Canis lupus familiaris: one gene and its partners. The protein of the gene in region 7 interacts with the protein of the main gene of each other region in a biochemical or structural test. Links are inferred from orthologs where the notes say so. Each region holds a gene or a part of one and is shown on either strand. Other genes may lie near its edges. The genes, in order: YES1, RASA1, LYN, NCK1, FNBP4, FGR and KHDRBS1.

The links.
Region 1: of the proteins of KHDRBS1 (region 7) and YES1, one has a biochemical effect on the other in vitro, tested with the Homo sapiens proteins (2 studies listed by BioGRID, with this or other methods). The link is inferred for Canis lupus familiaris from reciprocal best matches to the Homo sapiens genes KHDRBS1 and YES1.
Region 2: the proteins of KHDRBS1 (region 7) and RASA1 form a complex in vitro, tested with the Homo sapiens proteins (2 studies listed by BioGRID). The link is inferred for Canis lupus familiaris from reciprocal best matches to the Homo sapiens genes KHDRBS1 and RASA1.
Region 3: the proteins of KHDRBS1 (region 7) and LYN form a complex in vitro, tested with the Homo sapiens proteins (3 studies listed by BioGRID and IntAct, with this or other methods). The link is inferred for Canis lupus familiaris from reciprocal best matches to the Homo sapiens genes KHDRBS1 and LYN.
Region 4: the proteins of KHDRBS1 (region 7) and NCK1 form a complex in vitro, tested with the Homo sapiens proteins (3 studies listed by BioGRID, with this or other methods). The link is inferred for Canis lupus familiaris from reciprocal best matches to the Homo sapiens genes KHDRBS1 and NCK1.
Region 5: the proteins of KHDRBS1 (region 7) and FNBP4 form a complex in vitro, tested with the Homo sapiens proteins (2 studies listed by BioGRID and IntAct, with this or other methods). The link is inferred for Canis lupus familiaris from reciprocal best matches to the Homo sapiens genes KHDRBS1 and FNBP4.
Region 6: of the proteins of KHDRBS1 (region 7) and FGR, one has a biochemical effect on the other in vitro, tested with the Homo sapiens proteins (2 studies listed by BioGRID, with this or other methods). The link is inferred for Canis lupus familiaris from reciprocal best matches to the Homo sapiens genes KHDRBS1 and FGR.

Annotation. Positions count from the first base shown.
Region 1 is NC_049228.1:67,651,986-67,656,252, forward strand, and holds the start of YES1 (tyrosine-protein kinase Yes), read right to left. Parts: upstream 2,801-4,267; 5' UTR 2,602-2,800; intron 1-2,601. UniProt on the Homo sapiens protein: Non-receptor protein tyrosine kinase that is involved in the regulation of cell growth and survival, apoptosis, cell-cell adhesion, cytoskeleton remodeling, and differentiation.
Region 2 is NC_049224.1:21,307,750-21,311,796, reverse strand, and holds the start of RASA1 (ras GTPase-activating protein 1), read left to right. Parts: upstream 1-1,247; coding exon 1,248-1,717; intron 1,718-4,047. UniProt on the Homo sapiens protein: Inhibitory regulator of the Ras-cyclic AMP pathway. Stimulates the GTPase of normal but not oncogenic Ras p21; this stimulation may be further increased in the presence of NCK1.
Region 3 is NC_049250.1:7,889,951-7,893,450, reverse strand, and holds part of LYN (tyrosine-protein kinase Lyn), read right to left. Parts: intron 3,164-3,500; coding exon 3,058-3,163; intron 1,761-3,057; coding exon 1,662-1,760; intron 1,541-1,661; coding exon 1,437-1,540; intron 718-1,436; coding exon 568-717; intron 1-567. UniProt on the Homo sapiens protein: Non-receptor tyrosine-protein kinase that transmits signals from cell surface receptors and plays an important role in the regulation of innate and adaptive immune responses, hematopoiesis, responses to growth factors and cytokines, integrin signaling, but also responses to DNA damage and genotoxic agents.
Region 4 is NC_049244.1:33,892,866-33,897,093, forward strand, and holds the end of NCK1 (cytoplasmic protein NCK1), read left to right. Parts: intron 1-1,864; coding exon 1,865-2,059; 3' UTR 2,060-3,728; downstream 3,729-4,228. UniProt on the Homo sapiens protein: Adapter protein which associates with tyrosine-phosphorylated growth factor receptors, such as KDR and PDGFRB, or their cellular substrates. Maintains low levels of EIF2S1 phosphorylation by promoting its dephosphorylation by PP1.
Region 5 is NC_049239.1:42,338,908-42,343,052, reverse strand, and holds the start of FNBP4 (formin-binding protein 4), read right to left. Parts: upstream 2,801-4,145; 5' UTR 2,754-2,800; coding exon 2,516-2,753; intron 1,617-2,515; coding exon 1,527-1,616; intron 1-1,526.
Region 6 is NC_049223.1:72,080,235-72,083,734, reverse strand, and holds part of FGR (tyrosine-protein kinase Fgr), read right to left. Parts: intron 1,652-3,500; coding exon 1,548-1,651; intron 1,303-1,547; coding exon 1,153-1,302; intron 472-1,152; coding exon 316-471; intron 239-315; coding exon 59-238; intron 1-58. UniProt on the Homo sapiens protein: Non-receptor tyrosine-protein kinase that transmits signals from cell surface receptors devoid of kinase activity and contributes to the regulation of immune responses, including neutrophil, monocyte, macrophage and mast cell functions, cytoskeleton remodeling in response to extracellular stimuli, phagocytosis, cell adhesion and migration.
Region 7 is NC_049223.1:68,529,417-68,532,916, forward strand, and holds part of KHDRBS1 (KH domain-containing, RNA-binding, signal transduction-associated protein 1), read right to left. Parts: intron 3,357-3,500; coding exon 3,232-3,356; exon of another isoform or gene 3,050-3,231; intron 2,415-3,049; coding exon 2,298-2,414; intron 600-2,297; coding exon 453-599; intron 1-452. UniProt on the Homo sapiens protein: Recruited and tyrosine phosphorylated by several receptor systems, for example the T-cell, leptin and insulin receptors. Once phosphorylated, functions as an adapter protein in signal transduction cascades by binding to SH2 and SH3 domain-containing proteins.

The DNA of each region.
Region 1 (4,267 bases), on a different chromosome or scaffold from region 7:
GTCACTAAATGTTAAGTTCTTTACCCAAGCACCTTATATAGTACATTACACAGTCTTCTTAAAAAAAAAAAAAAAAAAAAAAAAAACCATTGGAACCACCAGCAGGTTAAAACTTTGTAACCACTACAGAATCTGGGTCCCAATCACAACTTCCTCCCACCTCCCATATCTTTACTTGTACAGAAATCACTTCCTTGCAGGTTTTTTTTTTTTAATTATACTTTTATTTCCCAAGTTTGTATTCCCAGATACCAGAGCTTAGTAGTGCTTTTTGATATTAGGTGCTTTTTAAAATTGAAGTACAAATGACATACAACATCCTACGAGCTTCAACTGTACATCATAGTGATTTGATATTTTCTATATTATGAAACAATTCCCTCCTAAGTCTAATTACCACCTGTCACCATACAAAGTTATTACAAGAATATTGACTATATTCCCTATGCTGTACCTTACATTCTTCTGACCTATTTTGTAACTAAGTTTGTACCTCTTTTTAATATAATGCTAAAAGGATAAATGACAACTACACTGAACACTACATCGAGTTAAACACGTTTATAAAGAAAAATTACTCACGTTAACAAATTTACTGCCTAAAAAGATGCAAATTTGGACTTTGTATAAATAAACCTTATACCACAGGTTGGTAATATTTCACTTAATACTGCATTGTTGCTATTAGCCTGTAACATTTATTCTTTCAACATTACATATCATGAAGGAGATCTATTTGCATGGACATTGATTTTTTTTAGCTTGAGATTTTCCTGAATTAAAAAAAAAGAAAACTCCACCCATATATTAATATTATACTTCAGTCATAAGACAAATTCCACCTATCGCAGGAAGACGGGTCAAAGTCATAATTTCGCTTTCAGTAGACTAGAAAGGAGTCAATTTTGTGGTTTATGAAGTCAGCAAAAACATACTGCAAAATTAAAAGCTATTATAACGTTATGGTGGTTATACGAGAGTACATATTTTAAAAGCTTTTTTTTCTTTTATTCTGGAAACATGGATACGAATGGTCTTGTATTTAGATTCGAATCAAAGGCAAGTGTTTCGTTTTATTTTTCAATCTTAAGACCCTATGAATTGGTCAACCAGCATTCAAAATCGCCACTGAGGTTTGGGTAATGTCCAAAATTTACAATAATTAGACTTCCTTTTCTTAAATGTCAACGATGACAGTGGTCTCACATATCAGTAAAACAAAGCAGATGTATGACTGAAGTGAAATAAAACTTTCTTACAGAATGTACGAAATATATATATATATACGTGTGACGCACACAAAATCCTCGTTCTCCTACATGACACTCCTTCGTTACCTGCCCATTCAAAATGTTTTCTGTCCACCGTGAGCCACTGCCCTAGTTATTAGATTCACCAGGTACTATGCTTTAAGTACACAGTCACATGTACCCATTTAGTAGTATCTTCCTTAGTCCGTAACTTTAGACATTTACCAGGATGTTTCACAAATACTCAGAATTATCGAGATACCGTTGGCACCGCAATCCTAGAGTTATGAAGACACACGTATACCACAATCTTATGCATGTACATGTCAAATCATGTATGTGAAAGCACACCATGAAACACACGTACCTAATGGCATGAACATCAAGTTGCGATTCCACTAGAGACGTCTCGTTTCCTTAACGATTTATAGATTGCTAGACCGTGGGTTATTCCACGCCTGTTTCAACTAATCACGCAGAAAGTAATTCAACCAAATCCGAACTATGCTGTGTCCCACCCACCACAAAACAAAAATTAAAGCAGTCCCTGCCCTGGACTTATTTGCCACTCATCAGAAGGCAAAAATCAAAGCCATCCATCCCTACACCGGACTTGGTTTCCAAAGGGCTTCCGAAAACGACGCTAACCCCATGCCCAATGAAGCAAAAGCTGGAAGCGATTACCAAGAAGGAAAACACACTTTAAACCAAAATTTCCTGCACCATGTGGACAGAGAAGCGAACCCAATGGGAGGTGGAGCGGCAGAACACTGTAAGAGCGGACGCTGAATGGCATCCTTCCCAACCCCCAACCCAAAACAAAGGAAAACTTTAAACATGTTGCGGTTTTCAATCAAACCAAGCAAAGCGAGAGGCTCCCCCCCTCGCCCCCACACACGCCCACGTCCGCTCTCCCAGCACAGTTGCCACCCGGCGTCTTACCACGGGGACCCTCCGGCTCCGGGACAGAACCGGGCTGCGGCTCCCGGCCCCGCCGGCGGCCGCGGGAGCCACCAGCGACCTCGCCCCCGGGCACCGCCGGGAGGTAGCGCACCGCTCCCAGGACCTGCGGTCGGACCTGGGCGGGCCCGGGAACGACGGGACGGGGCGGAGACCGAGTCAGGGGGGCGAGCAGGTAGCGCCGGGAAGGAGACACGCCCGCCGGGCCGGCCGGGACGGGGGAGGGGAGAACTTTCTCCCCAACTTCCCGACTCCGAGCCTGCCGGGGCGGGGAGCGCCGGCGCCTCGGGGCGCGGGCGCGGGGGCGCGCGGGCGGGCGGGCGCCGGGGCCTAGCGCTGCCCGGGCCGGGGTCGGCCGCCTCCGCCCGGGGGGGCCCAGCCGGGTCCTTACCTGCCCTCCAGCCGCGCTCTCATGAGTCGCCGCTACCGCGGCCCGGGGCGGCGAGGAGGGGGCGGTGGGCGGAGGCGAGGCCCGCGGGGCCCTCTCCCTCCTCCACCTCCTCGTCCCGAGCGCCCGGCCGCAGCGACGACGGCACAGCCGCCCCGCACTCGCCGCTTCAGGAGGAGGGAATTCCCGGGCTCCCCCACCCTTCGGCCTCACTCTCCACCTCCACTCCGCGCGGCGCCCGCCCTCACTCCCGGCTCCGCCCCTCCGCGGCGGGGGCGGGGCGGGGGCGGGGGCGGGGGCGGGGGCGGGGGCGGGGGGGCGGCTACCTGCGCGCGCGGCCGGCCCGCTCACCGGAACTCACGCCGCGCCCCCCGCCTTCCGGCGCCGGCGCGCTCGGCGGCTGTGGGCCGCGGGCCGTCCCCCTCCCCCCCCCCCCGCACGCCGTCCCGGTCGGCCGCGAGTCCGGGTCACTTATCCGGACCCAACATGGCGGCGGGGTCCGGGGCGGATTCCCGAGGCGGCGCGGGCTGAGGGGGCGTGAGGAGGCGGAGCGCGGCCGCTGCGGCCGCGGACTACCGGCCCCGGGAGGTGGAGTGAGGGAGGCTCCCGCCCCCTCTTTCTGGGTTCCCTTTGCCCCGCGCCGTCGTGCCGAGGGCTTCGGGCTTTGTGTGCGTGGGGAGGACGGGCTTGAGTGCGTGCCTTCTGGGACGAGGCTTCCGCACCCCTCGTCGCTGGTGGGGAGACCTCAGCCCCGCCGCGTGAGCCCGGGGGCGCGTCACTAGGCGCTCTTCGCCGGCCTGGTCGCCGTCCAGAGACGCTCGCGTCTGGCCTCCTTCCGAGCCGGGGATCCTGTCCCAGCGCGGGAGCTTCCTGTTGACTGTTGGTCGAGCCAGCCTTGCCGGGAGGGGAACCGGAGCCGGGTTCTCCTGGCGAGCTCCGGGGAGCGGTGGCCTCGGCTGATGCCCCGGCAGCCTCCCCCGGGGGGACAGGTGTGCATACCCTGCCGGACGGCTGCGCCCCCGAAAGTGCGGCAGCCCCGGCGAGAACTCGGCTCGGGGAATCCGGGCACCTTTCCCGTGTGCTCGGCGGCCGGAGGCTGGAGGACAGGGAGAGGGTCCGGAAGGAACAGACCGAGCCCGCAGGCTCTTCTGCCGAAGCCACTGCCGCGCTGTGCGACCCGAAGCCTGACTCCCCCCTGCACTTCCTCCTCGGTGGGGCTGTCGGGACCATTCGTGTGGGTCTGTTGGTTTCCTTTGCGGTTTTCAGTGAGATTCGGAGTCCTCTTTGACAAATAAATAATACAATCGTATGTGTCAGAATTCTGGCATTCTAGGAACTTAGGAAATGAATATAAAGGTTTGGATTTTTTTCTTCTTCAGCTCACTAAAATGAAGCAAAGGGGAGCCTAGGCGTTCCCGTTGCCAAAAAGGTACCCATAGTGTGGCATGGTGCTTTAATTTGATTTAGCTACTAGAATTTCACTTCCCCTTAACTGTATTGGGGATTAAACATTTTCATGCAGGTTTATAGTCCGCTTTTTTTTGTTTGTTTGTTTTTAATAGAAAATAAGATGGGCAGCCCGGGTGGCCCAGCAGTTTAGCGCCACCTTCAGCCCGGGGTGTGATCCCAGGGACCCGGGATCGAGTCCCGCGTCGGACTCCCTGCATGG
Region 2 (4,047 bases), on a different chromosome or scaffold from region 7:
GCGGTTTAGCGCCTGCCTTCGGCCCAGGGCGTGACCCCGGGGTCCTGGGATCGAGTCCTGCATCGGGCTCCCTGCGTGGAGCCTGCTGCTCCCTCTGCCTGTGTGTCTCTGTCTCTCATGAGTGAACAAATAAAACCTTAAAAATAAAATAAAATAAAACACGGAATAGTCATATAGTGATTTCTAGTATGCGACGAAAATCAAACAAATCGATAGCCCTGCCACTCCCCCTCGGCCCCGGGCCCCGGCAGCGCCGCTTCCTAAAGGCGTTATTTTCCACCAGCAGGAAGCAGGGCCCCGGCTCCGCGGCATCTTCCTTGCCGTCTTCCTCGGCGCTGCCCCCTCCCCTGCAGCGTCCCCGCCGCGTTCGCGGAGCCGGGCCCCCCAGCCCTCGGCCCGCCCCTCCGCGGCGCACGCTGACCCGGGGCGGGGCGGGGCGGGGACGGGGCGGGCGCCCCCCCGCGGCCGGTCCCCCGCACCGCGCGCCCCCGCCGCTTCCTTCCCTCGGGCCCAGCAGCGCGGCCGCCCCCGCGCCAGGGCCGCGCCTGCGCACAAGCCGCCCCGGCCCTGCTCCCCGCCCTTCCTCCCGCGGCCGGCTCCTCCTCCGGCGCCCCGCCTTCCTTTCTCTCTCTCTCTCTCTCTCTCCCTCTCTCTCTAGTCGGTTTCCGCGAGCGCTCCAGGTCGGCAGCCGCTCGGCCCGCTTCCCCGCCCCCCGCCCCTTCCTCTCCTCTCCTCTCCTCTCCTCTCCTCTCCTCTCCCCACCCCTCCCGCCTCCAGCCCCGCGGAGGATGCAGCGGCCGCCGCGGCCCGGGCCCCAGCAGCGGCACCGGCGGTGGCTGCGGTGGGGGTGGCCGGAACTGGGGTGGTGAAGCGGCGGCGGCGGCCGAGCGGGCGGCAGCCGCGCCAGCCGCTTCCTCTGTGCTTCCCTTCCTCTCTGGCGCGGCCAGGAAGTTTCTCACTAGTGTGCATGTGTGTGAGTGTGGGTGTGCAGGCTGAAGGTGCGGGTTGGCGTTGGTGCCGGCGGTAGGTTTTTTGCCCACTCGGCTTCCCGTAACCCGGGCCGCTCCGGAGCCTGGGCTGTGGCCCGAGGAGGGGGCGCGGCGGCGGGCTCGGTCCTTTTGTTGTCGTTTCCTCCGCCCGGGGAGCCGCCAGGGGGACGCGCCCGGGTGGGGCGGCTGGGAGCCCGGGCCTGCTGGCCCCCGGGGCTCCCGGGCGAGCGTAGAGCGGAGAGCGGAGCGGGCTTCAACATGATGGCGGCCGAGGGCGGCAGCGAGGAGGGCGGCCCGGGGGCGGCGGGGGCGGCGGGGGGCGGCGCGGCCGCGGGCTCGAGCGCCTGCCCGGCGGCGTGCAGGGTGAGGATGCCCGGCGCGCTGCCCGTGCCAGCCGTCGCCTGCTCCGGGCTGCCGGAGGCCGGCGGGGCCGCGCTGGGCGCCGGGCCGGGGGCGGGAGCCGTGGGGGGAGCCGGACTGTCAGGGGGAGGGGCCGGGGCCGGGGCCGCCGGGGCCGGGGGAGAGCCGGCCCTCGCCAAGGGCACCGCTTCGCTGGCTGCGGACACCTTCGGGGCGGGCGGCGCCTTCCCCCCGCTGCCGCCGCCGCCTCAGCTGCCCGCCCTGGGCGCCGCCGGCCTGGGAACCGTGGACGAAGGGGACTCCCTGGATGGACCCGAATACGAGGAGGAAGAGGTGGCCATCCCCCTGACCGCGCCTCCGACTAACCAGTAAGTGCACGCAGCCGTCCCGGGCCCGGGGACGCCGGCTCCTGGGCACAAGTGCGAACCCCTGGGACCTGCAGCTTTTCTTGCAGTTGCGATCCGTTGGTGAAAAAGTTTGGAGCCTTCGGGGTTGGCGTGCGTCGGGACTTGATTGGATCGCTCCTCTTCCCTGAGGGCGTGCACGCTGCCTTCGGCGTCTTTTGCATCTTTCTGGTTAGACCCTGGGAAGAAGTGAAGTTTTTGAGCTAGGAAAGCATGGAGAGTGGGGGGGGAGGGGGGGGAGGGGGGGCATGTGTATCCATCGGGAACCGGATACGGTGCTGCCTTTTCCAAGCCGAGGTTGCGTCCCCGGGGCTCAGCTGAGCTTGCAGCTGCCCGGGCCGTAGAGTCTCTCTCAGCCTGTGCGTGCATTCCCTGTTGAAGTCAGGTTATCCTTAGTCATAAGGCTTTGGGTATGCAAGTATTCCAAGGAGTATGGTATTGATGACCATTTTAAACATGCACCGGTCAGAAGGCTTTGCCTTTGTGGTGCTGTGCATCCCCAGCCTTTCGGAGGCAGAGCGATGCAGAAAAGTCTTCGGGTCTCTCCTGAAGATGTGGGTCGGCGAGAAAGGAAAGGAGTTCTGCGAATTACAGGTGTGGTGAAGGGTCTCTCTCCTCTTACGGGGTCTGTGACGTAGGCCGTGAAATTCCCATTTATTGATAACAGCCTGATCTTTTTATAGTTGAGGCTTTGTAAGCACAGTTCTCAAGTAAAATTGTCAATACTTCAATACTTTGTTGGTGGCCAGTGCAGTGTTCCATTTGGCAATCAGTTGCGACGGTATATTGCAGGGCATTTAGGGCAAATGGCTTTTTTCACACGGTGAGTACCTTCCCCTTGTTCCCTCCATAAGTGAACATAGGTGTGTGTTTGTAAAGGTGGACCTTGATGAGAGGAGAGTGTTACTGGGAAGGGGTAATAGATGGCAAAACCGTTCTTACGGATCCTTCACATCAGTTATTATCTGACCTTTAGAATTTCGACAGCCTTGGTGTATCAGAGGAAAAAATATTTGGTTCATATGATGACATTCACTCTGGACAATTGAAAGTATTTGTTTGTTTTGGATAAGCTTTGGAGGATTTAGAAAGGACTTAGAAAATGATTAGAAAAAGATTCTGTGATAATCCATTCTTAACCTAGGGCTACATCTTTTGATATTTAAGGGGGAAAGGTAAAAGTAGCCTGATTTGTGTCAGCCGTGGTATACTGCTCAGTAAGAGTTTAATTTTTTTGTCTAACTTTATTCCAACTTACCATGTTATGTGTTTGTTTTATAGACCTCTGAAGGTGTTCTGGGAGTGTGAAAAATTTGAATTTTACAGCACTGTTTACACACCTTCAAGCCTTTTTGAAAGAATCAGTAAATATTTAAGCGCTCACTACATCACTCCATGCTCAGCACTAGGGTTATAATAAAGTGCAACTTTTCATACTGAAAGAAGGCAGTCTTTTGCCAGTGTTTGTAACTGAGTTATATTAGGCATATTTGTATATTGTAGTTATAAATTTTTTTAAAAAAGTGATTTTGTGGAATGGTTTTAGGTTCACAGCAAAACTGGGCAGAAAATATAGTGTTCCCATTAGATTTTTCAGGATAAACATGAAGGAGTATTTGGAAAAATTTTTAGAAGTCTATTGTGTGAGGTTTCCATCATCATTAATATATATTTGGGAATAAAAATAATACTTGCATGACTGTATATATGAGAATCGTAAATGTTCTGAAAAGTATCCTCCATTTCAAGTATGTTTTTTAAATTTGTCACTGAGGAGTACAAATTACCCTCTTTTCTTTATCTTAGATATCAAACCAGAGTCACTGGAGGCAATACAGTGTAGTGTTTAAGGGTGCAAATTCTGAAGTTAGACAAGATTTGGGTTGGAATCCTGACTCTACCACTTATAACTGTGTGATCTTGGAAAGGTCAGTTTCCCCATCTGTAGAATGGGGATAATAATGGTACCTCCGTCATAGCATCGTTTTTAAGATTTAATGAGAACCCTGAAGTATTCAGTCAGCACAGTGCTTGGCACATAGTAAGTGTTCAGTAAATAGTATGCCAAAGTAACAGTAATATTTTATTGCCATTAAATTGCCTACTGATTCTATTGGTACAGGGAACTCCCTCACTGATAGTTACTTTAGGCAATGGTTCGTACTCCAGAGGTCTAGCTACCATGGTTAGCTATATTAAGAATTATGACTTCATAAAGGTTTCCATCAGGTTAAGTAGGTTTAGAGATGAAGTTCAGATCTTTTCTATGAATTCCTTTTTTTAATTTTTTTTTA
Region 3 (3,500 bases), on a different chromosome or scaffold from region 7:
CGGAGTGAGGAGCAGAAGTAAACAGTTCCTGCAGCTGCCCCCTACAATCGACTTTAACCCCACAGGGAATGAACATAAAGACTACCCATGGGTTTGGCTTCACAGGGCTGAAACCCGTGGCACTGGAGACAGAGGACCATTGAATTGCCACTTGTAAATATTTTCTTCTTGTTATTTCTGTCTTCTTTTACCCAGACATATACACATATATATACAAAGACACAGAGCTGCAAATCTGCATTCTGATGCCAAATATTTAAAGATGTGTTATAAAAATATGCACTACGTGAAAAGAATATTCATCTTCCACTTCACAGTGTTAGAACATTAACTGTCAAACAGCATAGATGAGGTGGGAAGAGCTGGGATAATTATTCACTAAGATCAAATCTGACTGTAGATGCATAGTTAATTATAGATTAACTTAGAATCAATTTCAGAATATGATCCTCCAACTTCATCCAAAAGAAGTATGAGGTAGAAGAATTTTAATCTAAAAAAGTGCTTGACCCCCTCCGGTTCACAAAAAATCTGTTTTGTCTTGGCCAACCTTCAATTTTCACTTACTTTGGTAATGTTTAATCATGTCGCTGATACAAGGAAAAGTGATTCGTGGAGAGATGTAATATCCCCCATTGTCCAGACTTCTAATTTTGTAGTGCTTAATAACATCACCATGCACAGGGTCATAATCTCTGACGGAAAGAGAGTAGCTTCCTGTGGGGGGAAAAACACAAGTAAAGATTATGCTTGTATTTTACAAGTAAGATCTGCTTTACCCAACACTGTAGTCCACATTTTTGGCCATAAAATATGCAAAATGTAAATCAAGTATGTATGTAGTGCATAATTTTAAGTCCTGTAAAAAGTCTACCTGACACATGAAGCTACCATGTTGTTGCTCTGTAGCTTACCAACATGTCACATTCCTTCTTCAGGCTAGATTTATTATTATTATTATTTTGCTGAATTGGAAAGTTATTTTGATTTTCTTCCTCTTAAAAATTTCAAGATTTACTCTTAATCATAGTGTAGGAGGCTCAGCAAACATAAAGCTTGGTAGGAAATGGCCGTAATTAGGTCTGCTTTCTATGTCACTTTTAGTAGCAAAACTAATCATTTGAGTTTATTGTTATCAAACTATAACACTTTCACTACCAGCACATCTCTCTTTTTTTTTTTTTTTTTTAAGATTTTATTTATCTATTCATGAGAGACACAGAGAGAGAGGCAGACACACTGGCAGAGGGAGAAGCAGCCCCATGTGGTCTCCATCCCGTGACCCCGGGATCATGCCCTGAGCCGAAAGCAGACACTCAACCACTGAGTCACCCAAGGCGTCCCTTTTTTTTTTTTTTAAATAAGAAATCTATGCTAAATTTCTAAGAATGATTTCCTAAGTAGTGATTTATAAGAGGACTTAAAACACTTCCTACCTTTTAATGTTTCGCTTTCTCTGATAAGAAAAGCTCCAGCACTGTTCCCTGGCGCCAGAAGCTGCCGTTCTGCATCTTTCCTGGTTATATCCTTGAAAAACCACCTGAGAAGACATTTTCACATTTCATAGATGTTATGCTCCAGGGAAGGAAAAAGATAAGGAATGCAAAAGAAAGCCAGTGCAGCAAACAAAACCATCAAAGATGGCAACTGTAAGGACTCACTCTTCTGTTTCCAACGTGTTCACTTTGGCTACATAGTTGCTGGGGATGAACCCTTCTCTCTTTGTTGAAAGAGATTTAGCTTTCCACCATTCTCCAAGTCTGGAATAGAAAGAGACATCAAAAAGTTTTTGTATGCAGGGGCATCTGGCTGGTTCTGTGGGTAGAGCATGTGACTCTTGATCTCGGGCTTGTGGGTTTGAGCCTTATGTTGAGTGTAGGTAGGGGTTACTCTAAAAAAAAATGAAATCTTTAAAAAAATAAATGTTTGGATCTAAAGAGTCAAGAGCTGCAATAGCAGTTGTTTTAAGGTGTCTGTTTTTAGGGGGTGAGGGAGGGTGGGAAGATCCCTGGAACCCCAGAATCCAGTGGGAAAATTCACTCCTTTTGCTGAAATAAAAATATGTGTAGAGACTCAGGCAAAGGAAAACAGCCTCACAACTGGGTCACTGTGCTCAGTGCTGCACACACAAGAGTTGGTGAAAATGGTTCCTATCTTGCAGAAGCAACATGTTTGTAATCTCTCCCAGGATGTCTAAGAAATGCCGTAGGATCCTTACAGAAATAGGAGTCAAGAGAACAGTGAACCACAGCTCTGACGTTATAAACACCTTTGTTAAAACATCCCATTTCCATAGGGAGATGCTTGGTGATAAGAAATAGAAACCATAAAGCAATTCCAAGCAGGTAGGCTCATCCCCACGTTTTTGTCCTCAGCATGGAGTCAAGGAGGAGGCCAGGGCCAGGGAAGGAGACAGGAGTGGAGGGGTCCTCATGAGCCTCAACTATGATCCTCAAATTCCCCCACACAGTCAGGTTCCTGGACTGTCAGACTTGAAGGACAACCACAACTGACACCAGGCTGTGGCCTACTGGATGCCTATACTATTTGCATACACACATGCACACAACATTCTCATATGAACCCCGGCGACAGAGGTACTGCCGTTTCCATTTCATAAGTGAAGAAACTCAGGTATAGAGTTGAAGTGACTCGTCAAGATCACACAGCTCTCAAGAGGCAGGGCCAGGATTAGGTCCAGGTTCACATTCAGCCAGTAAGCGATAACTGTTCTTAACCACTTAGCACCTTGTACTTACTAAGGGGGCTCCCTCCTCCAATCCTGGTTGGCAGGCCAAGATGACAATGTGCGCAAGACTAGGGGGAAATCCATATTCTCAGTACTGAGATCCTGTGGTCTGAGCCACAGGTCTGTGAGTCAGGACAAGAGGGCGGGAAGATCCCTTTGGCCATATTCCTTATACTTCCAAAGCCCTGCTAGCAGCAAGGAGGCAGCGAGGCTGGTTATTGCTGGGCTACTGGAAGCAAATCGAAGGGGACAGGACTCAGTGGCTAGAGAAAAGGGACAGCAGGCACAGTGTGCATAGGTGTACTTACTCCTCCAGGACTTTCATTTTCTCTCCTTTCTTGAAAGACAAGTCATCTGGATGGATGCCATCATAGGGGTACAAGGCTACCACGATGTCTCCTTGCTCCTCTGGATCTAAAGATGAAGGAGGAAAGGGAAAATTTTCAAGAATCCATCAATGGTAACATTTTAACAAGTCTTTATCAGGCACATAATGAATAATGAGTGTGTTTCCTGCCTAGTGGGGGCTCAGAGCCCACATGGTCTGCAGTAAGTAACATATTACACACACTGGATACAGTATATGTTATCTCCAATCATACAGACCCTACCACTATACTTAATTCCAGCTCTATATCTAAGAAATGATACAGCCATGTTCAGAGCAGGATTATTTGCAATAGCTAAAAAGAGATAACACGGGTACCTGGGTGGCTCAGTTGGTTAAGCGTCTGCCTTTGGCTCCGGTCAT
Region 4 (4,228 bases), on a different chromosome or scaffold from region 7:
TTAGTAAAACTATGAAACCATAAAAATGGAATAATAGTTATGTAGGCTCTTTTGATTACTGTTTAGAATATTAGAATTTGGTCCTATTCATTTAACTGGTCTTTATTTTTCCTTTTAAAAGGATACCACTACTTTTCCAGTTTTCAGATCATTAGTATTGGCTTTGTTTCTGTGTATGTAGTTCTATAAATGTGAATGTGTGATTGTAGAAAAGATTTAAAGTCAGAAGAAAACTTATCTGGTGTGTGTATGTGCACTTGCGTATAGCGTGTATATGTTTATAAAAGGGAGGGAAGAAAAGAGAGGTAATTGAACTGCTTGATATGAAGTTCAGGAAATGAGGCCTGTACATAACCCCTCAGGAAGAGCAGGATCAATGATAGGGAACAGTGGTGGGATTTGTTTTCTGTTAGATGCCTGACTTGATCTATCTTTCTAGGACAAGCAGTGAGCAAGAAGCATTAGGAAATGAGTGACCTTAGAGCAGGTGATAAGAGTAACCATAGGTATAGGATGTTTCCAAGAAGCCCACTATTTGAAACTTTGTCAGTAACTATATAAAACTTTTAGACTGTTCAGAAAAGTGTTTAGGTTAAAAAAAACAACAAAAAGTAAGAAAGTAGCTTGGTTACAAAACACTGTTTTCTTGGTGGGTAATTGAGCATGGATATTAGCCAACATGCACCATCATTTTTAGCAGTAGGATTTTTTTTTTTAAGATTTTATTTATTCATGAGAAACAGAGAATGGCAGACATTGGCAGAAGGAGAAACAGGCTCCCTGCGGGGAGCCCAATGCAGGACTCAGTCCTGAGACCCCAGGATCAGGCCCTGAGCTGAAGGGATGCTCAACCACTGAGCCACCCAAGCATCCCTAGAATTTTTAAAGTAAAGATTTCAAACAGGATATTTTGTTTGACATGAACAATGTTTTTTAAACATTTGAATTTGTTACCAGTATTTAAATATTGGGAAATTTACTATAAAAAGTCAGGTGACAGACTTCCTTTTAAAATTGGAAGACCTGGGCAGCCCCGGGGTGCAGCGGTTTAGCGCCGCCTGCAGCACGGGGTGTGATCCTGGAGACCCGGGATCCAGTCCCGTGTCAGGCTTCCTGCATGGAGCCTGCTTCTCCCTCTGCCTGTGTCTCTACTATCTCTCTCCCCCCCCCTCCCTCCCTCCCCCTGAATGAATGAATGAATGAATGAATAAATAAATCTTTTTTTTAAATAAATAAATAAAAATAAAATTGGAAGGCCTGCCAACCTTGCCTGTATTTCTACAAGACAACAATCACCACTAAGTGGCCACTTTCTTTAAATTGGCCATGCACTGTTCCTTCTCTCTGTCCACCCTGTCATTTGTTTATATGTCTTTTGACCCTTGTAGGCATTTGAGTTTATGACCTCTCATTAGTGTCTATTGTCTTTAAGAATTCAGCCGAATATCTGAGCTAGTCTATGAGATAGCTACTGTTAGCTCACATTAACTCATGTTTTCTCATGTGTTTCTCCAGTTGTCTGAAGGAGAGAAGATAGCTCTTGTGCTTCAGATGTTAAACTAAAGGATTTGCCATGGGTGTTAGAGCATATTATTTAAGAGACTTTGGAGTCTGGCTGCTTGGGTTTGCATCCTGGCTGTCTTGTTAACTACATGGATGATTTTGAGCAACTTAGCTTTTCTTGGCCTTGATTTTGTCATCTCTAAAAAGGGTTGGTTAGAGGTGTAAAGGAGATAATCTATGTAAATAGCATAGTGCCTAGTACTTAGCTAAGATTTGAGCACTTTATTATTATTAGTGTAATATAAAAATGCTAATAGATATCTTTCAAAATGTTTACCCTATGTATTTTTTTCTCTTTTAGCCAAATGATTTCTCTGTATCACTAAAAGCACAAGGGAAAAACAAGCATTTTAAAGTCCAACTAAAAGAGACTGTCTACTGCATTGGGCAGCGTAAATTCAGCACCATGGAAGAACTTGTAGAACATTACAAAAAGGCACCAATTTTTACAAGTGAACAAGGAGAAAAACTGTATCTTATCAAGCATTTGTCATGATAATGCTGACCAGAAGTGACTGCTATAAAGCTATAACTCATCATGTAATTGAAGACTGAGAAAATGTCAATCCAATCATATTTGATTGGAAATTGATTTCTGACTCTACATGAGAATTGAGTGTGATACATAAGTATTTTTATTATAACTCAGCCCATACATATATACTACATATGCAAAGCATCTGCATAAAGCAGTTCCTTATCCTTGGTCTTCTGTTTTATTGTTTCTTGTCTGTTTTTCTCTTTGCTTCTAATATTAAGGTTTTATATTTTCTAAAGATGATGCAGATCGAAAGTCTTTACATGGAAGAATTTATTGGTTTTTTTCTTTATTTCCTTGTAAGGGCACCATATTTAGGTCACTTCTGCAATGGTTTCTCTTCATATAAAATTATTATATCAGTATATGGCATATGCTAAAATAAATTTCTTGGACAATGTTCTTTTCTGTGACTAAATAGCAATAATAAATGGATAATTAGAAATTATTTTCAGGTATTTGTTGCAAGCCATTGTAAATATCAAGTATGTTGTGTCTGCCATTTTTAAAAAATATTCATTGTCTTCATTGTAAAGCAAAACAAATGGGACATAGGTTTGAAAACGTATCTTGTACACTTTTAATTTGCAACTGTTGGAAACAAAAATCTAAACTTCTAGGACTTTTTTGTGGGGTTGCTTCTTACCTGGTTATTTAAGAGAATAAAGCAGTCTCTGAGATATTTAGCTTTTTAAACTATAAATGGATGCCCTAGTGTTATGTTTTTTTTTTTCCCCTAGTGTTATTTTGACAAAGCATCTTGTATTGGGGCATGTTGTATCTGTGTCAGTGTGAAAAAAGCTGCAGCCAAATGTTGGGGAAGTAGGAGGCAGTGAGATACTTGTCTCCCCTCCCCAAACATGTCTATCAGTATTAGGTATAGTATTTCTGCTATTTTCTTTTCCTCCTTTCAGCTTTGAGTTTTGTTGACTGAGACACTAAAATTGATCATACCTGAGGAAAAGATGGGATGTGCCAAATGGTTAGAGAAGGTTATTTTTGAAATCTTACTTTTGGAGAGTTTCTATTGTTTTTGTTTACTAAACAGAAGCTTGGGTGTATGAATGAGAGGCTACTATAGAGTATTGAATCTACTTCTGCAGGTCACAGAAGAAAACAGCTGTATTTTGTGGTCTTAGCTATCCTCTCCGACATAATTTGTTCTGGAATTTAAATTTAAGCAAAATTACTTTCAGTATTAGGAAATCTTATGGTATTTTTAAAAATTTCCCCAGTGCGGCCTAAGCAAATGAATGTTTCTATTCTTTAATGTGTTATAGATAAGTATTTAATACACCAAAATTACTGATGTTAAAATTGAAATTGTCTAATTCCTGAGGTTTTTGGATTATTTTTTTTAATTATTTTAAGTAATTTTTATTCTTTAACTCTTAAAATCATTTGAAGACTTACATTGCCACTGGGTGGCAGCCCTGGCTTCTCCCACTAAGCAATAGGAGTCAGCAAATACAATTAAAGCATTGATGTACAATTTTTTATTTTCACCACATCTACTTTTAAAGCCTTTTAGTTCATATTTCATTATCTTTGTCAGTCTCTCTTTGTTTATTGAGATGATTATTAGTAGACAATTGTAATAGAAATAAAAGTCATGTGCTTACCTGTTTTTGCTGTAAAATCACTTGAATATAAGTTGAAGAAAATAGTTTCAAAGTGTTATAAATATGATTAGGTAGTAAACACCTTTTTATTTGATTTTAAACAGCTGATGATGCTTTCTTTTTCTCCATTTTTTGTTTTTCCCCCCAGTCTTCTTTTTAAAAAGATATTTCTTAAAAAAAAAAAAGAAGCAATTAATACTTTGTAATCACAATGTAATTGATGCATTAATCATGTATCACATGAGCTATATTTATAGCAAACCCCACTGAACTTATGTTAAGGATTTTAAGAAAGCAGCTAGGAATGGAGAAGACTGGAAGTAGATTGCACATTCTCTGACATAATTAGATTTATAATAACTAGAGAGTTCCCAGATAGGCCACATGACCTGCACCTGCATATAACAAGCACTGCATATACTCATCTTCCACAAGGCAAAAGACTTGGGTATCTGATTGTTCAACAAAACAAAGCTTGAACAGCATCCAGGAGGTGAGGCAGGCA
Region 5 (4,145 bases), on a different chromosome or scaffold from region 7:
ATAATGAACAAGCATGAATTAGTCTATCACTGATAAGGGACATTCCATCATTGATAAGGAACAGAATGATAAAGTCATAACTATTATGTAAAGTTGTTTAACTAAAAATAAATAAATGAATAAAAGACTTACAGGACCTATCCCAGACTACTATTGAAATGTTGTTACTACTTAAAACCAGAGGAAGCAAGGACATTCTTCAGAGCCATAGTCCTTAGCTGCTGCTGATGTTTTGTTTTTTTTTTTTTTTTTTTGAGGAGTGTTGACTGCACAAACCTCAATAAGCACAACCTGCAAATCAACTAACTACATAGATAGAAAATAATTTCTTAGGTGTATACCTTTCTTGATAAGCTTCAAACAGTAACTGTCATATTTCTAGCAACTGTTAACATTTGAACAGTGGTTTTATTTCTTCTGGTAACAGAAACTATTAACATTCAATAGGATAAAAGTATCATAGTAGTCTATTGATCTAATTTCAGAGCTTACTCTGAAATTTTTCTTGGAGAGTTTCACATGCTATTACCATAATATTCTTCTTCATGAAAGCATTAGATACTCTTGCTCTACTATATTATAAAAGCATATTTTAACAATTTTTTAAAAGCAGCAAATGGAAGAGTAGAACGAGCATCTATTTTTTCAGGTGTCCTATAGCACAGAGAGAACTCCAAACTGAAAAGAATCAATTATCAGGGGCAGCCTGGGTGGCTCAGCGGTTTAGTGCCGCCTTCAGCTCAGGTCGTGATCCTGGAGTCCCAGGGTCGAGTCCCACATCAGGCTCCCTGCATTGGAGACTGCTTCTCCCTCTGCCTGTGTCTCTGCCTCTTTCTCTGTCTCTCATGAATAAATAAATAAAATATTAAAAAAAAAGAATGAATTATCAGTTATAAGATATTTAGTATCAAACATATTTTGATCTATAAAGAAATGCACATGGGCAGCCCCGGTGGCGCAGCGGTTTAGCGCCGCCTGCAGCCCGGGGTGTGATCCTGGAGACCCGGGATGGAGTCCCACATCAGGCTCCCTGCATGGTGCCTGCTTCTCCCTCTGCCTGTGTCTCTGCCTCTCTCTCTAGCTGTGTCTCTATGAATAAATAAATATAATCTTTAAAAAATAATAAATAAATAAATAAATAAATAAATAAATAAATAAATAAATAAATAAATAAATAAATATTTAAAAATGCACAGAATGAAAGATATCCATGGAACACCAAGATAGTGGGGAGCCAGAAAACCACCAAATAGCATTAGAAGAGAAGTAGCACGAAGTATTTTGGGTACAGGGAAAAAAGCAACAAATTTTACGTTGGTTAAAGTGTATATACCAGCAAGCCCTCAGACAAAAAAAAAAAAAAAAAAAAGCTATTTTTATTCTCGGAAATTTTACATTTCCATTTTATGGGAGAATGTGTAATTTAACCACACTGAAGCGTTCAATGAAATACTTTTTATAAAAGCCCAATTTGATCCTTATGAGAGACTTTGGAGAAAAGATGGGAGGAAAAAACAAAACTGTACCTGTTGCTTTCACGGCTGTAGGTCTGGTGGTCATGACTGGTTTAGGAGGATTCTGAACTCTGGGAACCTCCACCACCACTTCCTGTTCATCTGGATTTTTAAAAAGGAACAAAAGAAAACTAATCTGCCGGTGGACTAGAGAAAACAAGATAACAACATAATCTTCGATTTGACCTTTCAAGTCTAAATTTCACCAATTTGAAAACAGGGTGCGTAAATCCATCACTGACCCAAATAGTGGGGGAGATGATAAAGAAGCGGAGAGCTAGACTCTTCCACGTGACTAGTGGCTTTAACATTAAGAACAGGACTACGATACATCAAAGTACATCTGAAGTAATTCGAATTTTTAAAAATACACACGCACAGAATACATCTCCGGGCTCCGATCGGGCCTTTACAACACCACAGGGATAGCGCCGGAAACGGTCGCCGACTTCTCGGGCATCTGGCCCTCGAAGGAGCACTGAACAGCTGCTCTTAATCCAAATACGGTTCCGGGGAGAAACAAACAAGTACTTCGGAACCCTCCAGTTCTACTTCTCCCGGAATTTGAGGGGTACCTGCCAATTCGGAGCTACGTTCGCCTTGGCCGGCATTAATAAAATGAGTTTGCTCCCTCCCGAACTCATCCTTCTTCACGAAGGGGAAAGCGCAGGACGTGTGGAAAAGGCCAGGCTCCCGGTCACCGGGCCTCGGATGCAAAGCTCGTCCTCTCACCACCACCCCCTAAGTCACGCAGACCCTAGCGTGCACGCTGAGGAGACTCGGGAAGCCAGGCCCGGCCCTGCGCCAGAGATGGCGCCGCCGGCCCCTTCCGCCGCCCTGAGGCCCCCAGCCGTCCTCCCCTCGGGCCCCACGCAGCAGGCCGCGGTGCGGAGGCAGCCCGCGCGCCCGGGTTTCTCTTCGTGCCAGGGCCCTGCCGTAGGCCGCAAGTCCCGAGCTCGAGTTTTGGACGCCCCACCTGAGTGTCGGGGCCCCTTGCGCACCTTTACCTTCTGAAGGCGAGTCTTCTGGGGCCGCGGCGGCCGTAGTCACCGTGGCCGTCGTCGTTGTGGCCGGTGGTGCCGCCGAAGCTGGCTGGCTCGGCGCCGCCGCCGCCGTCGAGTCCGGTTCCGTGTCGGGTTCCGGCTCCGGATCCCTGCCCGGCGTGCTGCTCCGGGGGCCCGGCGGAGAGAGCTGCAGGATGGGCCTGCGGCCGGGTACCGCCCGGGACTTCTTCCCCATCGCGAGCCCGAGCGCGAGCCGCGAGCGTCGGCCAGCCGAGAGGGGCGGGCGCTCCGCGCGGCGCTGCGTAATCAATATTCATGCACCGCGACACCGCCTCCTGAGAGAATCCGCTTTTAACCGGCGGAGCGCGCGCCCGCGCAAGCGCCTTGGGCTCTTTACGCTAGTCTGGCTCCGCCCCCCGAGAGGGGAAGGGCGGGCTTTACCCACGCTGCTAGACGATTGGCTATTTTGATCTATTGAAGGAACCAGAAGCCAATGGAAAAGGGAAAAGAGTGAGCGTCAAGCCAATAGCGCGGAAGGGCCTGCGTTAGAATGACTTTCCATTACGTCGGACTCCACCCATGCGTCTTCTGCGGAGTCTTTTTCTTTATCCTCTTGTCCTCCATCTTGCCCTTCTTCTCTGCTGGCTGTTCGTTGTTTTTTGATTTGTTTTGTTTTTGTCCATCGGGAAGCTTTGCTGCTTTTCGGGCCCTTCCCGCAGTTTTGTCCTGATTATTGTGGCTTACTTTGGGTTTGACGTTGAACACTAAATAAAATAGTGGGTCTTTTATGCTTTTGTGAGTTTTTTTTCTTAGAGCACACATTTGATGTTTGAGGTTTACGTTCCTTGAGCCCTCGCCCCTCCTTGTCTCCTTCCCTACCCCGGAGCCGGCCAGTCGATCGCGACCTACCGTGCGGCATCACATGGCAAAACTGCGTTCCTCAAGACCTGGGGCAGGCGTTATGGCAACCTTGCATCTCGGTGCTGAGCTCCTCCCCAGGGCTCACGTCCTACCCCTGTATCCGTTTCCCTCTTCCTTAGCCTAAGAAATTGGGTGGTATTTATTTTTATATCCCCAGCAGCTCAGGTCTTACTGGAGCACACCAATACTATCTAACATTTACTGGGCACTTATTATGTGTGAGGCACTAAGCACTTTCACAAGTACGATTGTATTTTATTCTCCCCACAACCTTGTACGGTAGGTAATCATGATCCATAATGTATAGATGATCCCCCGGGACGTGTGTGTGGGCTTTTTGTTTTGTTTTGTCTTAAGATTTTATGTTTAAAGGCAGCCCCGATGGCTCAGTGGTTTAGCACCTGTCTTTGGCTCAGGGTGTGATCCTGAGGACCTGGGGATCGAGTCCCACGTCGGACTCCCGGCATGGAACCTCCCTCTGCCTGTGTCTCTGCTGTGTGTGTGTGTGTGTGTGTGTGTGTGTGTGTGTGTGTCTCATGAATAAATAAATAAAATGTATAAAAAAATTAAAAAGATTTTATGTTTAAGTCATATCTACACCTAAGTGCAGCTCAAACTTACAACCCCGAGATCAAGAAAGCGTATAACCCAGATGATGTTGATGACGTTTTGGAATGTGTGTGAGGTTTGGTGGGGTGAGGCCTGA
Region 6 (3,500 bases), about 3.6 Mb from region 7:
CCCCCAGAGACACCTCTCTGAACACCCCCGGACTCCGCCTCCTGACCCCGCCCCTCACCGTGGCACATGAACTCGGTCACGATGTAGATGGGCTCCTCCGACACCACGGCGTACAGCTGCACCAGCTTGTCGTGCCGCAGCAGCTTCATGATCTGCGCCTCCGCCAGGAAGGCCTTCGGGGACATGGTTCCCGGCTTCAGCGTCTTCACCGCCACCTTCGTGCTGCCGTTCCACATGCCTGCCAGGTGGTCGTGGTTCGTCAGCACCGGCTCCCGGTTGTCCCAAGCCCGCGCCCCGCCCCCGGGACCTCCGTACCCAGCCACACGTCCCCGAAGCAGCCGGTGCCCAGCCGGCGCTCGAGCGCGATGGAGCTGCGGCTAATCTCCCAAGCATCCTTGGCCAGGCCCATTGTCTGCGGCTTCATGGTGGTGCAGGCCACCGAGAGCAGGTGGCAGAGCCCGTCGTTCACCTCTGGCGGGGGTGGGGGGTGGGGGGCTGTTGCAGGTAGTGGGCAGGCCAGGACGCCCCACCCATTCCTCATCCTGTCCCAGGCGCAGCCCTTCCCCTGCTCCCCTCCCCCATCAGTGGAAAGGAACTAGGCCACAGGGGAGGTCACACGCCGGGGCCAAAGGCAACCTGACCCACTGAGTAGGTGAACATGTTGGTGCCCAGGGAAGGAAGGATGATCCCCTGCAGGGTTTGGAGTCCTCTCCATAGGAGGTGGCCTCCAGCTGGGCCTTCAGGGTTAAGGTGGGATTCTGACAGGTAGAAATGAGTTGGGGATTCGAGACAGTGGTGTGGACATGAGGCCCTCGCCCTTCCCTGCACCTCACCTTTGGTATAACTAAAGCAGAAACCTGGGCATTGATTCCCAGCTTCCTCTCAACCCTACAGCCCATCCTCCAAGTCAGGTCTATTTGGCTTCCTGCCCAGCTAGACATTAGGGGGCGCCCTTCTGACGTGGACAGTCTCACACCTGTTCCCTCTGGAATCCTACAGAGCAGGATCCTGGGCTGGGAACCCAAACCCTTGGTTTCCAGTTTTGCTCCAGCCACTACTGCTTTGGGAACCCCTTTCCTTCTCTGGCCCTAATTCTTAGTGGGTTAGTTCAGGGACCCAAAGCACACACCAGCCCTGGAAGCCAGCCCTCACCCATGTAATGCTGTACCAGCTCCTGCACCGAGTGGAACTGGGCCCGTGTGGTGATGTAGTAGCCGCCCGTGTCCAGTTTGCGAATTTTGTAATGCTTCACATGGTCGCCTCTGGTCTGGTCCCAATCCCGGATGGACAGGGAGTAGGCACCTGTGGGCAAGGGTTGTTTTCGAGTCTGCTTTCCTCCTCGCTCATCATTTTGGAGCCTGAGACACCCAAATGCCTGGGGACTCAGAACTTGGATGGCCACATCCCTTGAACTCGGTCCTAGTCAAATCTCTGAACCTCCACCCCTGTCCCATCTGCCCACTCCCCCATGACCCAAGCCCCTCACCACTGTTCCTAGCCCCACCCTAACAGCTGAGCTTCCCATTTGCCCCTTCCCAGGCCCCCACCTTTGGTAGTCTCACTCTCACGAATAAGAAAGGCCCCCCGGGGGTTCCCAGGGGAGAGCAGCTGCCTCTCAGCATCCTTCCTCCCGATCTTTCCAAAGTACCACCTGTTGGGAAGGGCCAGCAAGAGTCAGATACACCCAGATACACCCAGTTCAACCCACAACTCAGCCTCCTGGGGAAAAACCACCTCACTAGCCAAGATTCAATTTCCTCACTCTTGAAATGGGGCTCATACACCTGCTTCACAGCCCGGCCCGTGAGGTGCACAGAGACCAGGAATGTGGAATGCTTGGCTTGTGGTAGCCACCCAGTAAAGGTTAGACTTCTCTCCACTCTCTGGGTTTCCCTTCAACTAAAATCACTAGGACCCCAGTCACTAGTGACCTCATCAGGGTGCTACCAGTTTCTGAATGCATCTCACTACCACTCCTCCAAGGGCTCATTTTGCAGATGTGGAACTTGAGGCTCAGAGAGGAGAAGTGACCTTCCCTCAGGACTGGTTGATGAGGTCTACGTGAAATGCTTTACTTCCCAGCCTAGTTCTTTTCCCACCACCTAGGCAATCTTCTCCCCATCCATCCCTACCCCCAAATCCTTTCCTCCTATGACTTCCAAACAACAGCCTTTCCTGCTTCTCTTCCCCTCTTCATGACTGCTCCTGCCTGGCTCTGACTGCTGGTTTTCCTCCACTCTCTTTAACTTGGATATTCTTATAAAGCTAGATTTCAACCTCAGATGTCAGGCATTCCTTCTTTGTCTTGGATATTTTTCCTAAGACTGAACTGTAGCCTTAAATCAACTGTGAAAATACACTGGGAGAACCAGAGTGGCCCCACAAGTGCCATAGAAGACTCAGATGTCCTTTGATTACAAAATTGGCCAATCTGGGGCGCCTGGCTGCCTTCAGCTCAGGTCATGATCTGGAAGGTCCTCAGCTTGAACCCTGTGTCACTTCCTGCTCAGTGAGGAGTCTGTTTCTCCCTCTCTCACTCTGCTTCTCACCACTAGCTACCCGACCCCCTCCTCACTAGCTCTTATGTGTGTGTGTGTGTGTGCATGCATGTGTGTGCATGTGTGCACTCTCTCTCTCTCAAATAACTAAATAAAATATTTAAAATAAATAAATAAATAAACCAGTTTACACCTGGGTACTGGGCATAATTTGGGGGACAGGAAGGTACTGGCAAGTAGAGTGTCCAGGTGGGCAGGCAGGATGGGGAAAGAGGAACTGTAGAAGGCCTATGTAGACAGGACACATTCGCAAGTTTTTTCAAAGCCGTGCCCCCACCCATACCCATGGGAGTAGTTACCTCCTTAATAATTAATTTAATAATAACAGTACTTATTTTATGTCATGCTCTGCTTTATTTTTTTTTTTCATGCTCTGCTTTAAAACACCTTATATTCATTTAGTTCTTATAACAACGTTGTGAGGTAGGTCCTATTATTAACCTCCATTAGACAGATGAGGAAATTGAGATACCTAGTGGTTAAGCAACTTGCCCAAGGCCACACGCTCTTAAGCTGTGTTGGCCAGAATAGGAACACCAGTTGTCGCTCAATGGCCTGCAGTCTTAACCACAACGCTGCTCTTAACCATGGCACTGCAATGAGTGTCTCTCAGAGCTTCGTGACACTGCTTCTAAGATGCGGACACAAGCATGAACCTCCCACACCTCCCACCTTCTGCATCATCACCCTTCTCTTTTCCATGACTCCTACCACTTTCTCTGGATGAAGGCCTCACCTCCTCTGAGCTCAGGACCCCAACCACTTCCCTTCGCTCAGGGACACCTCTCCCCTACAAACCAGCCCCCACCTGCAGCCTCTCCATCCCACCAACCTCTACATATGCCCACATTTCTTCCTTCCCCCCAAAAAAACTGTTCTAAGCCCTAACTTGCCATCAACATTCTGTTATATCTCTCACCTTCTCTTCACTTGAAAAAGCAC
Region 7 (3,500 bases):
TAGAAGCCTCTTGCTGTTATCTTCTACACTCTCCAAAGTCTAGAACATTAACCCCTGAGTACAAGGAGTTTACGACTATCTTAGCCTTCTTCTTATCATAACCTCCTGGTTCCACACTAGTACCAACACACTTAATTCAGTGAAGACTGTTAAATCTTTGTTAATCAGATGTTAAAACGCCAGACACACTGCAGACCCAAGATACTAACAATAGATCCTGGTATATAACCAAAACCACATTAGACAAGGAGGGGTAGAGTAGCTTTGGGGCACAGTGCTTTGAGAACTAGGTATAAGTAACACACTACCTCAGAAAAATGAACATAAATACAGAATTTGGTATGCAATTTCAGGTTATGCAGAGATCATGATTAAGAACCCCTGCCTTATTAGCAACAGTACAAGATCCCAGTTCTCTTTTGCTCAAAGATATAGGATGTGGATTTCCTTACTGGTACTAGAAACTTCTTGACTTCCTCCATAGCATGGGCCATAAGAGCGTAAGCCTCACATGGGGGTCCAAAGACTTCAATAAACACATGCAGATCCATATTCAAGTGGGCATATTTGGGGTCTCCACCTTTGCGCAGCTCTTCCTCCTATGGAAAAATGCAGAAAAACATCACATCACATAGAATGGGAGAAAATGATAGTTATTTCCAGCTCAAAGAGAAAGAAATTAAATATCTAAGAAAAATAGCAAAGTGTAAGACAAAAGCAAACAAAGTCTAGAGGATAGTAATTCACACAACCTGCTAAACCTGTAATTTGGTCTGCTACTAAAAGTTAACCACTGTATTGAGTCCATGGTATATTCACTGCAGCTCTTACTAGGTGTAGAAGAGAGAAACTTAATTCCAGTCTTCATTCAGATATAAGCTGTTTGCCAAGCATGCATGCATTCATTCATTGCCAAGCATTTGTTTTTAAATTCCACGTAGAGGGATGCCTGGGTGGCTCAGCGGTTGAGTGTCTGCCTTCAGCCCAGGGCATGATCCTGGAGTCCCAGAATCGAGTCCCACACTGGGTTCTCTGCATGGAGCCTGCTTCTCTGCCTATGTTTCTGCCTCTCTCTCTGTCTCTCATGAATAAATAAAATCTTTTAAATCAATCAATCAATCAATCAATCCTAGGTAGAGCTGTTGAGCACAGGCTCTTCATTTTTTTTTTACACTAAAAAAAAAAAATACTATTTATTTTGGGGGTGGGGGGACAGAGGGAGACGGAGAGGGAATCTTAAACAGGCTCCATGCCCAGTGAGGAGCCCAAAGCAGGGCTCGATCTCACAACCCTGAGATTATGACATGAGCTGAAACCGAGTCAGATGCTTAACCGAATCAATCACCCAGGTGCCCCTAAACTTTTTTTATTCATTAAGTAATCTCTACCCTCATTGTGGGGCTTGAACTGAGGACCCTGAGATCAAGAGTCACATATTCTAGTGACTAAGTCAGCCAGATGTCCCAGTACCAGTTCTTTTTATTGTCTGGGATGTTCTAGGGGAGGAAAGAAGTCAGGATAGAGTGAAGAAAATCTCATTAGCTAGAATAACATACTTCAGCCCTAAGTGTATTCATCTAGTGAGAAATGTGAGTGGATAAAAGAAAACAATGTTCATCAGTTTAGGCTGCATAAAAGGAGCCCTGAATGACTAAGTTCTTAGACTGTACCTGATATATCTCATCTAAAAAGCTGACCCTAGAATGCTAAGACTATTCTGTTTTGGTAGAATTTTCTTTCTTTCTTTCTTTTTTTTTTTTTTTGAGTGCTTATAAAGAATACAAAGCTCATGGGCTACGACATGGGAAAAAAAATTAGCATTAGGTTCTGTTGTCAGGATTACTATGGTTCCTTTTGAAATACTTTCTTTTAGTGTTCTTTACATTCCAACTGGCTCTAAAAAAACCCAGACAACTAATCCTCAGATTCACCTGTACTCACAACATTACTGCTCTCATTTTTCAATGTTACTGGAAAGGGAATGTGCTGTTCACATTTTAGTGTCTTTAGTCTGGATAAGTTTTAGCATATACAGCTTCCCTTCCAAGTTTTCAGAGACAAGCTTACAAATGTGAAAGTTGTTACTGCTGCTTCTATTACGAGGCAGTCAAAAGTCAGGAAAAAAAAAAAAAACCACTAGGGCACACCTAGCCTCTTCCAGCGTTGCCAAACAAGTAAATTAACTAGGTCTGTAATCTCTTACACCCAACACAAATTTAAGGGATTCACATTCTGTATTTTTATAAGTACTGGCTTCCAGGAGGCATTGTCTTTTTGCCTCACTGATGTGAGCTTACCTTGGCTTTGTCTCTCATTGAGCCCTTGCCCAGCACAGAGATCTTTGCACCTGTCTCTTCTTGCAGTCTTTTGATTGTATTTCCTTGTGGTCCAAGGATCTTCCCCACAAAATTGAACTGACAGAAAAGAAAAATAGATTTCTAAATACGTATGTTCCTATAAAACACTTCCACATGTATTACTGTCTCATTTGATCTACAACCCTGCAAAATAGGGTGCATATTACCATTCCTATTTTACTGAAAAGGATATGCTGAGGATACACTGAAAAAAATGAATAGTCTAAGATTATACATATAGAAAGCAGCAGTTCCTAGACTTGAACTTGGGTTTCCAGATGTAGTCTAGTGCTCTTTCCAAATTATCACACTGCAACCCTTACTGCTTCAACAAACAAATATTTTTAAGGCAGTGACTACAGAACAGACATATGGCATTCTTTTATAGTACTTGTTTGGTAAACTAAATATAACTAATTTCTTTTCTTTAAAAAAAGGAAAAAAGGAGGAGGAGGAGAAAAACAAGAAAGTATTTATTTGAAAGTAAAACACTGATTAAGAAATAAAATTAACTTCATCTAGTCAAAGATTTGTGCTATATTCCCTGTATTGAGATTTTATCAATCTTTTTTTTTCCCCACATCAATCTTTTGACAGAGAGCAACTCTTCAGTTTTTTTCTTTGAACTTGGAGCCTGAATGTTTGAGAAAGAAACTCTTTTTGGTAATAAAAAGTTGATATTTCCTTCCTAGATATAGGTATACGGCTACTTACAGACTCAGATGTTTCAACTACCAAAAACAAGTACTACAAGTATGGAAGAGAAGCTTCACAGGCTCAAGGACCTAATGCATCACAATTTCCAGAAGTCTTTATTATAGCCCGTGGCTCTCACACCTACAAAGACAACCAAGTGAGGCACGTCTGGCCTTACCTTGGGATACTGCTTGACAGGTATCAGTACCCGCTCCTTCAGCTTCATGTTCTTATGAGAAAATAAATCCAAGTAATTCTCCTCATCGTCCTTTTTTGAATCTCCTTTCTGAATCTTCTCAATTTCTGAATAAGACAAACACAATTCAGTTTTTGTTCTGGTAACTAAATGCAAATATCCAAGTCTGCATAAAGCAAAAACAACATAAGACCAAATAGTTCAGATGAATGTGCTAATTTCAGATAGAGACTGGCTGAAAGCATCAAAGG